Schizosaccharomyces pombe: one gene and its partner. The protein of the gene in region 2 binds, or shares a complex with, the protein of the main gene of each other region. Each region holds a gene or a part of one and is shown on either strand. Other genes may lie near its edges.

The links. Proteins that work in one complex are often made in the same cells at the same time.
Region 1: eaf7 (region 2) and mst1 share a complex: the UniProt entries of both Schizosaccharomyces pombe proteins name them as parts of the nuA4 histone acetyltransferase complex.

The regions. Positions count from the first base shown.
Region 1 is NC_003424.3:4,558,159-4,564,827, forward strand, and holds mst1 (histone acetyltransferase, KAT5 family Mst1), read right to left. Parts: upstream 4,672-6,669; 5' UTR 4,618-4,671; coding exon 3,226-4,617; 3' UTR 3,079-3,225; coding exon of another isoform or gene 1,135-3,078; 3' UTR 943-1,134; downstream 1-942. Other genes in the region: 19S proteasome regulatory subunit Rpn10, read right to left, coding at 1-184, 264-410, 453-478; ATP-dependent RNA helicase Rpm2, read left to right, coding at 1,135-3,078; slm1 (cytoskeletal signaling protein), read right to left, coding at 5,736-6,669. UniProt on the Schizosaccharomyces pombe protein: Catalytic component of the NuA4 histone acetyltransferase (HAT) complex which is involved in epigenetic transcriptional activation of selected genes principally by acetylation of nucleosomal histones H4, H3, H2B, H2A and H2A variant H2A.Z.
Region 2 is NC_003423.3:4,258,931-4,263,614, forward strand, and holds eaf7 (NuA4 histone acetyltransferase complex subunit Eaf7), read right to left. Parts: upstream 2,532-4,684; 5' UTR 2,390-2,531; coding exon 2,233-2,389; exon of another isoform or gene 2,143-2,232; coding exon 2,009-2,142; exon of another isoform or gene 1,947-2,008; coding exon 1,419-1,946; 3' UTR 882-1,418; downstream 1-881. Other genes in the region: RNA-binding protein Cip1, read right to left, coding at 3,543-4,684. UniProt on the Schizosaccharomyces pombe protein: Component of the NuA4 histone acetyltransferase complex which is involved in transcriptional activation of selected genes principally by acetylation of nucleosomal histone H4 and H2A. The NuA4 complex is also involved in DNA repair.

The DNA.
Region 1 (6,669 bases), on a different chromosome or scaffold from region 2:
AACAATAGGAGAACCTACAAATGCAACAATTCTTTGACGTTGAATTTTGTTTTCTCTATGCTTTAAGGCTAACTGCGCAATCTGTATACCATCGCCAAACTTTGCGTTTCCTCGGACAGGCAGGTCGTGCATTGCAGATAAGAATTTACCATAATCTCTGGTTAATGTAGAAAGAACTTGGGGACTAATATGATTAGAATTTCTGTAAAGTATTTTATAGCTGAACATAAAGTACCGTTCAAGCCGTAATATTAATCATATACCTATTATCACCAATTGTCATTAAACCACACATGTTCTCCGGATTATCATTGATCTTTTGATTGAAAATCATATGTACAGTATCCTTTTGAGCTTCAAACCTCGTAGGTATATAATCACCATTAATCATCCATTCTGAATTATCAATTCTGCCATGTTAGAGCAATAATTTAACAAAAATAAATTCTTACAGAATCATCGTTGCTTCTAACACCATCTTGAAGACCTATAATTTAAAACTTAATGCGAAGAAATTTGAAAGAACGCTTGGTAGATTACAGAAGATGTGTTGCAAAGTGAACTAGACAAGGTATTACTACTCACCTTCTCTAGTCATTCTCGGATAACGATATGTAACGCATCACAAAATGAAACATCGAAAAACATGGTGATACACAATTCATTTCCTGTTCGAATCCACAGGTTCTCTAATTTCTTACAGCACGCGTAAATAATCGAAAGCCAACACCAAATGCGTGAAATTGTTATAATACAAGTGTAGGTAATAAACGCTTTTTAAAAAATTTTATATATTTACTGAAGCGGAAAACTGGAATTTAAAGGGTACTGCTGAGATACTAATTTTTTGGAGATACATGCAGAGCTGTTGGTATAACATATTAGAGGCCTCAGCAGGCAACTTGACTGAATCTCGTAGTCAAATTATTACTTTTTTTTTCCTTTTTTAATTAATAGAAGGTAATATTTTTAAAAGCGATAAAGCCAGGGACCTTCAGACGTTTGAGAAGTATTTAATTTTCTATATAAACATTTCTTGTTTTTAAATTACTTTAAATACTTGGATTAAGTTTTGCTCTGGTTACAGGGCGGCCAGCAATAGAGCATTGCTAGAAAGATTTTAACTCGCCAGGAATGTTTTTGGAAACTTTGATTCATGGCGTAACGTTTTGTGTACCGTTTTTTAGCAAGTCTGCTAGAATTCACACTTTATCAAAGGATGTTTTTCAACAAAGGAAATTCCCAGGAAATACCTTGTGGGCTGCTGCCCTCAATCGCTTCACTGCATATTTATTTGCTTCCAAAGAACTTTCGTCAAAACAAGCATACTTAGCCCAAGACTTTGTCAATGTCTGCAAGGATGCCAGTGTCTTTCAGAATGTATACTATTATGAGTTAAAAAAGAATATCCTTACAGATTTAGGATTTTCTGACTTAAAAAACTCTGATAAATCATTGGCTCTTTCAAAATCTTCTTCTACTTTTGACCTTCAGAAAATAAAAAAGATCCATGATTGTTTACTCTCAGAGTATCGGAAGTATGTACGATATCAAGAGCGAATAGAAGAAACAAGACCTGACTTACAAAAGCAATTAACAGATTTAAAAAATCCAATTGAGTGGTATCCAGGAGCGAGAAAACTCAGAAGGCATATCATTATGCATGTCGGCCCAACGAATAGCGGGAAAACACATAGGGCTTTAGAAAGACTTAAGACTTGCAAGAAAGGTATATTTGCTGGCCCTTTAAGACTTTTGGCTCACGAAATCTATAATCGCTTGCAAGCAAACGGAATAGCTTGTAATCTTTACACAGGGGAAGAGATTAGAAATGATTATCCTTTCCCTCAGGTTGTTTCATGTACTGTAGAAATGTGCAACTTATCTACTACTTTTGATGTTGCAGTCATTGATGAAATCCAAATGATGGCTGATCCTTCACGGGGATATGCTTGGACTCAATGCTTGCTTGGCTTGCAGGCTAAGGAAATTCATTTATGCGGAGAAGAAAGTGTTGTTAAATTAGTGCGTTCAATTGCTAAAATGACCCAAGATGATTTTACTGTTTACAGATACGAACGGTTAAATCCTCTCCACGTTGCAGAAAAGAGCTTAAATGGAAAGTTAAGTGAACTCAAAGACGGGGATTGTGTTGTGGCTTTTTCAAGGAAAAACATTTTTACTTTGAAGTCTAAAATTGATCAAGCATTAGGAAAAAAATCTGCCGTTATTTATGGTTCACTGCCTCCTGAAGTCCGTAATCAACAAGCAAGCTTATTTAATTCAAAGAGTTCTGATGAAAATATTTTGCTGGCCTCCGATGCCATTGGTATGGGTCTCAACTTAGGCGTAAAGCGTATTGTTTTCAGCGATTTAAAAAAGTTTAGTGGAGTTTCCACTATAGACATCCCTGTACCACAAATTAAGCAGATAGCAGGAAGAGCTGGCCGACATAATCCCAATGGATCTAAGCAAAGTGCTGGAATAGTAACTACCCTATATCAAAAAGATTTTGCGAAATTAAATCGCGCCATGAATCTTCCTACAAAGAACTTATTCAATGCTTGTATTGGAGCTAAGGACGATTTATTCTTTAGATATTTATCACTATTCTCTGATGACATTCCTCAAAAGCTAATTTTCGATCGTTACTTTAAGTTAGCGAAAACGACTACTCCATTTGTTGTGTCGGAAGGAGCACTAAGCACATTCATTATTGAATATTTAGACCACATAAAAGGTTTAACCATTAAAGATAAAATCAAATTGTTAGGGTGCCCAGTGTTAAAGCATTCTAAATACGCACCACTATTTATTCGGGAAATCGGATGTGTTATCGCTCAAGGAAAACGTCTGCAAATATATGATTTGAAGTCTGTACCTTTGGAAATATTAGAACGCGGAATTCCAACCACTGAAACCGAGTTACAACAACTAGAGCAGCTTCACAAATTAATAGTAGCATACATGTGGGCTAGTATACGATATCCAGCTATCCTGCAAAATGGAGCAGCCGAAAAAACCAAGGCAATAGCAGAGGCTTTTCTAATCAAAGGAATATCGAAATTACAAAAGTAACTAAAATGAAATAAAAGGTTACAAATTAGTCTCTATTCCTTCAAACTTTAAGTATCATTAATATATATCTAGGAGATACTTTAATTATGAGAATTTTTTTTTTTTTTAAGAAAGACGACCAGCATCTAATCCATTCTTTGTACAGAATTACCATCCAAATCGTAGTTGGGAAGGGTGAAAAACAGGAGGTTGCCAATCTGCCAACAAATCTCCATTGATCCTTCTTCTTTTTTTGTTCTTCAATCTTTCGTATTGTTGCTCAATTCCATCTGAAATACAGATAATAAATTGACCTTTGTAATATTTAAGCATATTTAGTGCTTGAAGTGTATGTAGCACATCATTAGTAGTCATTGAAGTTTTGTTGGCTAATTCGTCAATAGTGGTTTCAGTTCGCATTCCAAGCACAAGGTTGATGATTTGTTCAGCCCAATACGCTCGATAACTAATCAACCCCAAATCAGAAAGTGGTTTTTCAGGTGAGCCGTGTTTGTGCTCACGCTTGGTCAATTCATAAGAAAATTGTATGAGTAACTTGCCATAACCATGTCTTTGGTATTGAGGTAAAGTTAAGATACAAGCAAGGTTGTAATTTTCGGAGGACTCTTTTTCTTTTGAGAAATATCCTACCAAGTGACATCCATATTCATCGCGGCGACACATACAGTAAAACAAAAAGGGATCAACATCATAGTAAAGCATTTTGTGATCCAGAAAAAGTTTGGACAAAAGACAAATATTCCTACACCATGTACGTTGCTTTCTTCCATCAATTTCAAAAAAGGATATATAGTCATCACGGTATATTTCATTTCCGGGTGGATGCTGCAATGTACATTTTTCGCGGTGTCTTTGAAATTGTCGCTCAGATCCGTAATAGCAGAAACAAAAACTGCAAATATAAACTATATCTACTTCCGAAAATTCTTTAGGGTACGGTGAGAAGTACCAAGGTTCAATTTCATGATCTCCTATGCAAATTTTGTTTATATTACGAATTCGAGCTATTTCGTGAGGATTTTGAACCATTGAGCCACTGAACCGTAACCTTTCTACTTCTTGTTCTTTTGAAAGACTTTCGGGCTTGTGGTCTTCCTCCAATAACGGTAAACTTTCATTCCCGGCATTTGATCCATGATCACTTTCTCCAGAAGGGGTGGATGGTTCAGGTTTCTCCGTAGAAGGCGTCGAAGGCTCAGTTTTTGAAGGTGCTGTAATCGATCGTCGTCTGTCAACAGCTTTTGGACGTTTTGAGGATTTTCCTTTTCCATGAGCCTTTTTTGGCTTCTCCGGCGGTGGATACTCAATTCCTTTCGATAAATCAATATTATCTATTGTAATCCATTCATCTAAACGTTTATTGTAGTCATTATAGTGTACATAGTAGACGACGCCTCTAGTTCTTTTTTGAATCATTAAAATCTCCGCCTTTCGATATTCTCCATCCTTAAATGCAAAGACTTTGGATTTATAAACTATGTCTTTAGCCTCATAAGACTTTGTTTCAATCTTGGACTCATCATCAACATCATTCGACATCTTGAGTCTCAATAAGTGGATACTTATTCCATGTACAAATTGTGTAGCCACCCTGAAAATTTTTTTTTCATGGTGGTGAGTTTTGCTAGTTTCGAAAACATTTCTTTACCGATTCGTTAAATGTCGGTATGTTTTTTGTGAACTTTACTGCTTTAAATTAAATTGTTTAGCAAATTTCGACGAATTTACAATCTTTGCTACCTTGAAATTCATTAAGCGAGATGATTTTTAAAGTTAGAGTTTCGCTCGTTATTATAGCATCGACGTAATTATTCTCAACCTGCGCTTACAGCAAACGATGCTAACCTTTTCGTTTCCAATAGAAAGTAAATTAATTAATAAAATTTTTGAAAGGATGAAAAGAGTAATAAATACTTTCATTTTACACATATCAAGATAGCTGTGATAAATTAAACGATCAACTTCAAAAATCCTGAAATGCTCAATTAAAATTAGTGTTCTTTGATAATATAAAAATCTAGAAAATATTTTTCTCGGGTTTGAACACGAGTATATTCGAAATTTGTCCAGAAAGTACCGAAAATGCTATAAACAGTAATACAATTCTTCAGTTTTCCGTTTCCAATTAAAAGAATAATGCCAATAAGGAATAATAGAAGTACTTTTCATAATTAAGGGAATTTACTTCACTAACGCGCTCAGCTAATTCACAAAAACCAATAAAAGTATGTTAGGCACTTTATTTACAAGGTATATACCATCATCCCAGCTGCTAAATTAATAAACATGAAACGAGCGGTTGAGATATATCGGAATGAAACCTGCTACATTAAAAAGTAACTTTCCCGATTGAAACAGTCATCAGCCACAGGTATGGGTGAACAGAAAATGTATTTATTCTGAGTTTATATATAATACCTATATATTTGTTGACTGGTGTTTCAAAAGTTCACTATATATCAAGAAACACTATCATGAATTCATTACAGTAACAGTAAAATGGTTCACAATCAACATTCAAGTGCTTTAAACGGGAATCAAAAAGATACAATTAAGACGGGTATGGGGGAGTTACAAAGACTGCCATTTAAAACACAACGGCAGTGTAACAAATATACATGAGCACATTTCGTACCTAATTTGCGAATATACAATCTTTATACATTCCAAGCATTATGACCAGTAGCACTAGCGTTGTAAATAAAGTTGTTGTTGGCGCCAGAATTTCCTTGGCTATCTGCGTATGAGGGAATTTGTTCCGAACCATAACTTCGATTTGTATTGACAGCAGAGCTTGGTTGCGACATACGGGTATTCATCGTAGAACTTTGACGCTCGACGGCTGGACGGAAGTCATTTGGATCATCATCATCATCATCACTGTCGGAAACAGCTGATGGACCATTTGCGTTGCTTAAAGGTTGTATATAGTTCACATTAGCAATATGGGTATTCAACGCTTCCCACCATCTCATTAGTTCGGTGTTGTTAGAAGCGCGAAACGCGTAATCGTTTCGCGCGCCAAAAATTTTCTTAGTAGCATCCTTGCCAGTTATTTTAAACTTGGGTTTCTTCTCAGAAGGGCGACCGATCAGACAATCAGGTATGTAAAGGGCGAATTCGGGTTCAGGATCTTGAAGTGAATCAGAAGATTTAAATTCGTAAAGATAGCCAGAATGTGTAAAGGCATAAAAACCTCTTTGTTTTTTCTTTAAAAAACTTGTTTTACGAATTAAATAACCAGCCATGATAGGTACAGTGGGTTGGTCATTCTTACCAGGATATTTTATAGCATCAACGCTGCGGGGGGGAACAGAGCCATGAATAAATTCCGGCTCACGCTTTGCGTATCCGGTCCACTCGCCAGCAAGGGTTTGTGCTTCTGATACGCGAACAACTTCTTGGAGGTGATTAATAGCTTTGACATGGGTTTGATTCATCATGCCCTCAAACTGCTTAACCGTGTCTTTAATTTTTGCGATAAGGTTTTGCTCGAAACGAAAAGAAAATTCTTGAAGCTGTGCCACTGCTACGGAGTGATTGTTCTCTTCTTGAACTTGTCGAGCCAAACAGTTTAGCACTTGTCTATCT
Region 2 (4,684 bases):
TATTATATCATGGCAATTTTGGGACGAGACTTTGCCGTTGAATTAATAGCATCTCTCCTTGTGTTTGACTGTTTGACCAATTTGAACAATTAATTAATTCAATGAACAAGTTGCTTTCAATGTCTTTGACTAAACAATTCAAAGTTTTCAAGAATGTGTGTGAATACATCAAAGATGAAATCTACCAAGCGGAAGGCCGCTATATATATATATAGGAAAAACTTCTTACTACTTTTGGGCTAGATGCACTATTTATATCAAATTTTATGTGCTGATAGATAAACTGGTAATCCTTCTATGTGTAACTGATAGTGAGCCCTATTACCCTATCAGGTCGGTAAAACGGCGAATATCAATTCTGAATAGAGAGACACTAGGATTATCTTTGTTAGTGTACTTCCATTGTTTATTAAACGGTTTCAAGTTTAATTGCTAAAATTGTTTTTATGTTGTTGAATACTAAATATTAATGAGATTTTTGCCTCACAGTATGAAAATTATGTACGATATTAACCTTTCAAGTAAGGGAATCTACGAAACTCTATGAAGTAGATCCCGCTGCATGTTTATGTACCTGAATGCAAGCGCGTTTGTGTATTTTTGATGTCTTTTAAAGGTTTCGCAATGACGGGTTGCTCAGTTTTGCTTTGCTATTAGAGAGCTGTACTTATAGATCTATTGTGTTTTAAAAGTTGTTAAATTCGGCAGACTCTGCTAGGCAATGGTCTGATGTGCCGATAAATAATACATTAACTCATGTGAATACTCAAGTCCGTTTCACCGGAATTGAAAAATTCATTGATCAAATCGTTACCTGTGTAAGGTTTTGAAAACAATTTGCTCATCAATTTGAAAGTAATATGTATACTACCTATTGGAATCTCTCTGTCTATGCGTGTTAAACATACTTTAAAACATATTTCCAACCAAATCGACATTAACATATGGACCTATCGAATTAAAATTGAAAACTCACAGTTAGAAGATTTTTTTTAGCAAGTCAAGCTATCAAACAGTATATATAGCTACATAAAACATCGTAACGAACAGTAAAGAAGTGACGGGATTCAAAAATCGTAGCGGTAAATCAGAGTAAATTTGTTTGTAACAAAGCCGTTCGTCTTTTCCCATTACGTGAATCGAGCATCAAAAAGGAGTAAAACTGCAAAAGCAAATTAGTTTTGGACATGCCGTCGATCCCATTAAACCTATAATTCTGCTAAAACAAATCTCCTTGACATACAAAATATTAGTTGTAGTAAAATCATAATTCTTTTTATTTTTCACTTTTTATAAATCCCTTGTGATAATTAATTTTGGTCTCATATATAAATAACCGTTCATTAGAGTAGACCAAGCATAAATGATATGTACAAATAATCAGTCTTTCCCATCCTAGGTTTTTCTGTTAACAAGAGCTAGGTCGGAGGCCTCCGGCTTCGAGAGCTACGGCGAATAGCTTGGTTTGAAGCTGCCGGTGAAGAAGCAGGCTCTATGGGCTCAGTAGCCATACGCTTTGGAGAACGGGCTGTATTTTGAGAAGATGGCGAGACGGATCTTTTTCGCAAAGTCATGGAACTCTCTTTCTTTTCAGACTTTTCTTTTTTTTCGGGAATAACAGGCTGAATCTTTGGACTTTGCGGCTGTTCAGTAACAGGAGAAATACTTCTAGAAGAGGATCGTAAATTCCGAGAAATTTTCTCTTCTTTAGATTCAAGCTTGACTTTACTTTCCTTCTTCTCTTTCTGTAAATTCGTCTCCTGCTTAACTTCGGGTTCACCGGGTTTAGTTTCTACCGTTTCAATCTCCACTTTTTGAGATGTTTCCAATGGTTTCTCGGATTTTTCTTTTACTTTAAGAATATCTTTTGGTAATTTAAAATCTTTAACATCTGGCGACTTTATTCGTTTTTCTTTCGCCTTAACTTCTTCATTTCCTGGAGCTTCCTAATTTAAAAAACTGTCAACAAATACTTGAAAACAAAAAATTAAAAGGCTTTTTGACATACCAATTCTTCAAACTCTTTCAAATTATAAAGTGTTCCTAATTTATTCCAAACGTCCTGAGCCTTAATTGTTGATCTTTTGCAGCCATCACGAATTTCTCGTAAAATCCCTATCATATAAAAATTTTTTTCTATTCCTATTTTTTAATTAGTGAATGAATGCAATAATTTGATAACATGCAGCTTTTAAAATAAGAGACCGAGCAATTAACCTTTCGAACACTTACCTACAGGGCGCAATCCACGACAAATAGCTTTTAACAGTAAGGTTTCCTCTAAAACAGACCATTCAGTAACAGAATCATTCATATTTGATTCTTTATTTACATCCTCCTGCCTTTTCTGCTCGGCAGCAGTTGATGATCTTGTTCCCCTCGAACTCATAAATACAATTGCTATCCTCTAATACATAGGTTTATATGGGTAAAATAAGAAAATTTCTGTTTCTTAGTTTACTTTTTCTACTAATTTAACTTTATATTATCGGCAATATAGCAGATTATCAATATTTATGGTGTTGTGCGGTACTTCCAGCCATAACTCATGAAACTGGTTTTTATAATATTTTCTTTTTCTAGCTGCAGTAATTACAAGGTCAAGTGTATTTCATCTTTTTTCATAACCTTAACAAAAAATAAAAGTTCATCCAAAAAGAATCGTGCATCTTTGTGTTATCCTTTCTTCATTCTTAAATTCAATAGACATTCAAGTGCAGTAATTGAGTAAGGCTGCGATAACCCATAAAGTATTCTTATTTTAGTGAATCCTTTGTAACTTCCTTTAATTACAACTTACTAACAATGGAACTAAAAGTCCACCATGCTTGCAATTTCTTTTTCTTTTTTACATATAAATCAATTCGCATTATATAGGAAAATTTAACGATATTTTAGGTAATTTTAAAGTAGCTCATTTAAAGCCCTACAAGCTTGGTAGAAAATAGACTTTAAATCGTAGGTTTATTTCTATATCCATAGTACGGTAATACTAAGCTAGGAACATTCACATCCACATAAAGAAGATGATTAAATTTACAAAAATAAAAGTTCAATTTTGTAATATCAGACTAATGTATTTGTCCAAGGTTAAATTTAATCATGTAAAGTATGTGTATATTATACGGTAGGGCATAAATTTCTTATACAAGAAAAATCGTTATAATTTGTAAAAAAATAGGAGCATCGCTCATCCGTTGATTATCGTCATAAAACATTATGCCTCACCCAACATATATCCATCATTGATTGCTGTTAAGTCGAGTCGTCCAAATGTGTCGTGGGAATTCAAAACGATAAAATATAAGCTTCTAAGTATTTAAAAGGATTATTTGCTGGATAACCAACTATGTGAAAGGGAAAACAAAAAATCAACAAAATGAAGCCCATAGAGTTTAGATTCATCAGAAGTAAGTGATAAAGGGATAAAGAGCAAAATTTAGTCAAAACAAATAGCGTATAGTAAATGCATCTATAGTTGGCGTAAACAAAAATCATATCTTAAAAGGTACATAAACAGTTTCTTTATAATTGCATAGACTCTAAAAGTGGGAGACACCAAAACTCTGCTTGGAAGCGGAGGTAGAAGCATCATTATCATTTTTTGAATTGAAAGGTGAACTCAAAGTAGAAGCCTTTTGAAGCGGTGATTCATTTCCATAAATTTTGTCGTCAATCGAACGAAGTTGGTTTGTCAATGGTACTGCGAAACTGGGAGGTGGGGTTATAGGGGCACTCTTAGTACCATTCAATGAATGCTCTTGCAAAAATCGAGTAGCTAACGGTGCCGGCATATTAAATCTTAAATTTGGAGATGCAGGTTGCGACTGACTTACGCTCGTATTCTTTTTATTCGGATGAGTAACTACTAATTTTAACACCTCTCCATTCGGGCGAGCATAGTAATCGAGATCAAAGTACAGGCAAAAGATTCTAATGGCATTTAGAAGGTTTCCGTCCTTAGAAGTGGTTTCAAATGTTATTTCACGAGAAGGAATGCATTGATGAGCAAACAATAGAAGTCTACTATAAGTTTCAAGGGTACCAGTGTCATTCAAATTTAAGCCTTGATCAGTAAAGCTAACTTCAAACATCTTGTACTGCTGTTTACGACGTCTTTCTTCAGCTTGACGTTTCTTTGCTTTTTCCACCTTCTCGCGTTCTGCAGCTGGTAATTGGCGTTTCCATTCAACACGAAGACGTCTGCCATTAATTTCATAGCCATTAAGCGTTTGCACAACAACTTGAGCCTCTTCAGGACGATAAAAATTAGCAAAAGCCAATCCTCGAAATATTCCATTGTCATAGTGATAATTAAAGGCATAAGGTCTGGGAATACCTAGTTGCTTAAAATGATCCAACAATGTATCTTTCTCCAACGAGAAAGGAATATTTTTCACAACAATAGCCGTTGGAATGGTATCTTCACCGGGTTCAACCGGTGTTGAATTAGAATTGGCAGTCGATCCTGCTTTGATTTGGGTACTGTTAAAAGCATCCAACGAAGGCTCTGCGGATGTATCAGCTTTATTGCCTTTTCCACTGGCAGAAAAGCTTTTACTTTCTGAAGAAGATTCAGCACCACTAGGAGGAGAGACATTGTGGAAAGCCATAGCACTCGCCTCATTTGCTGAATTTGAGTTCCTGGACGAGAGGTACGGAGTTCCAATAGAATTGGCGCTGT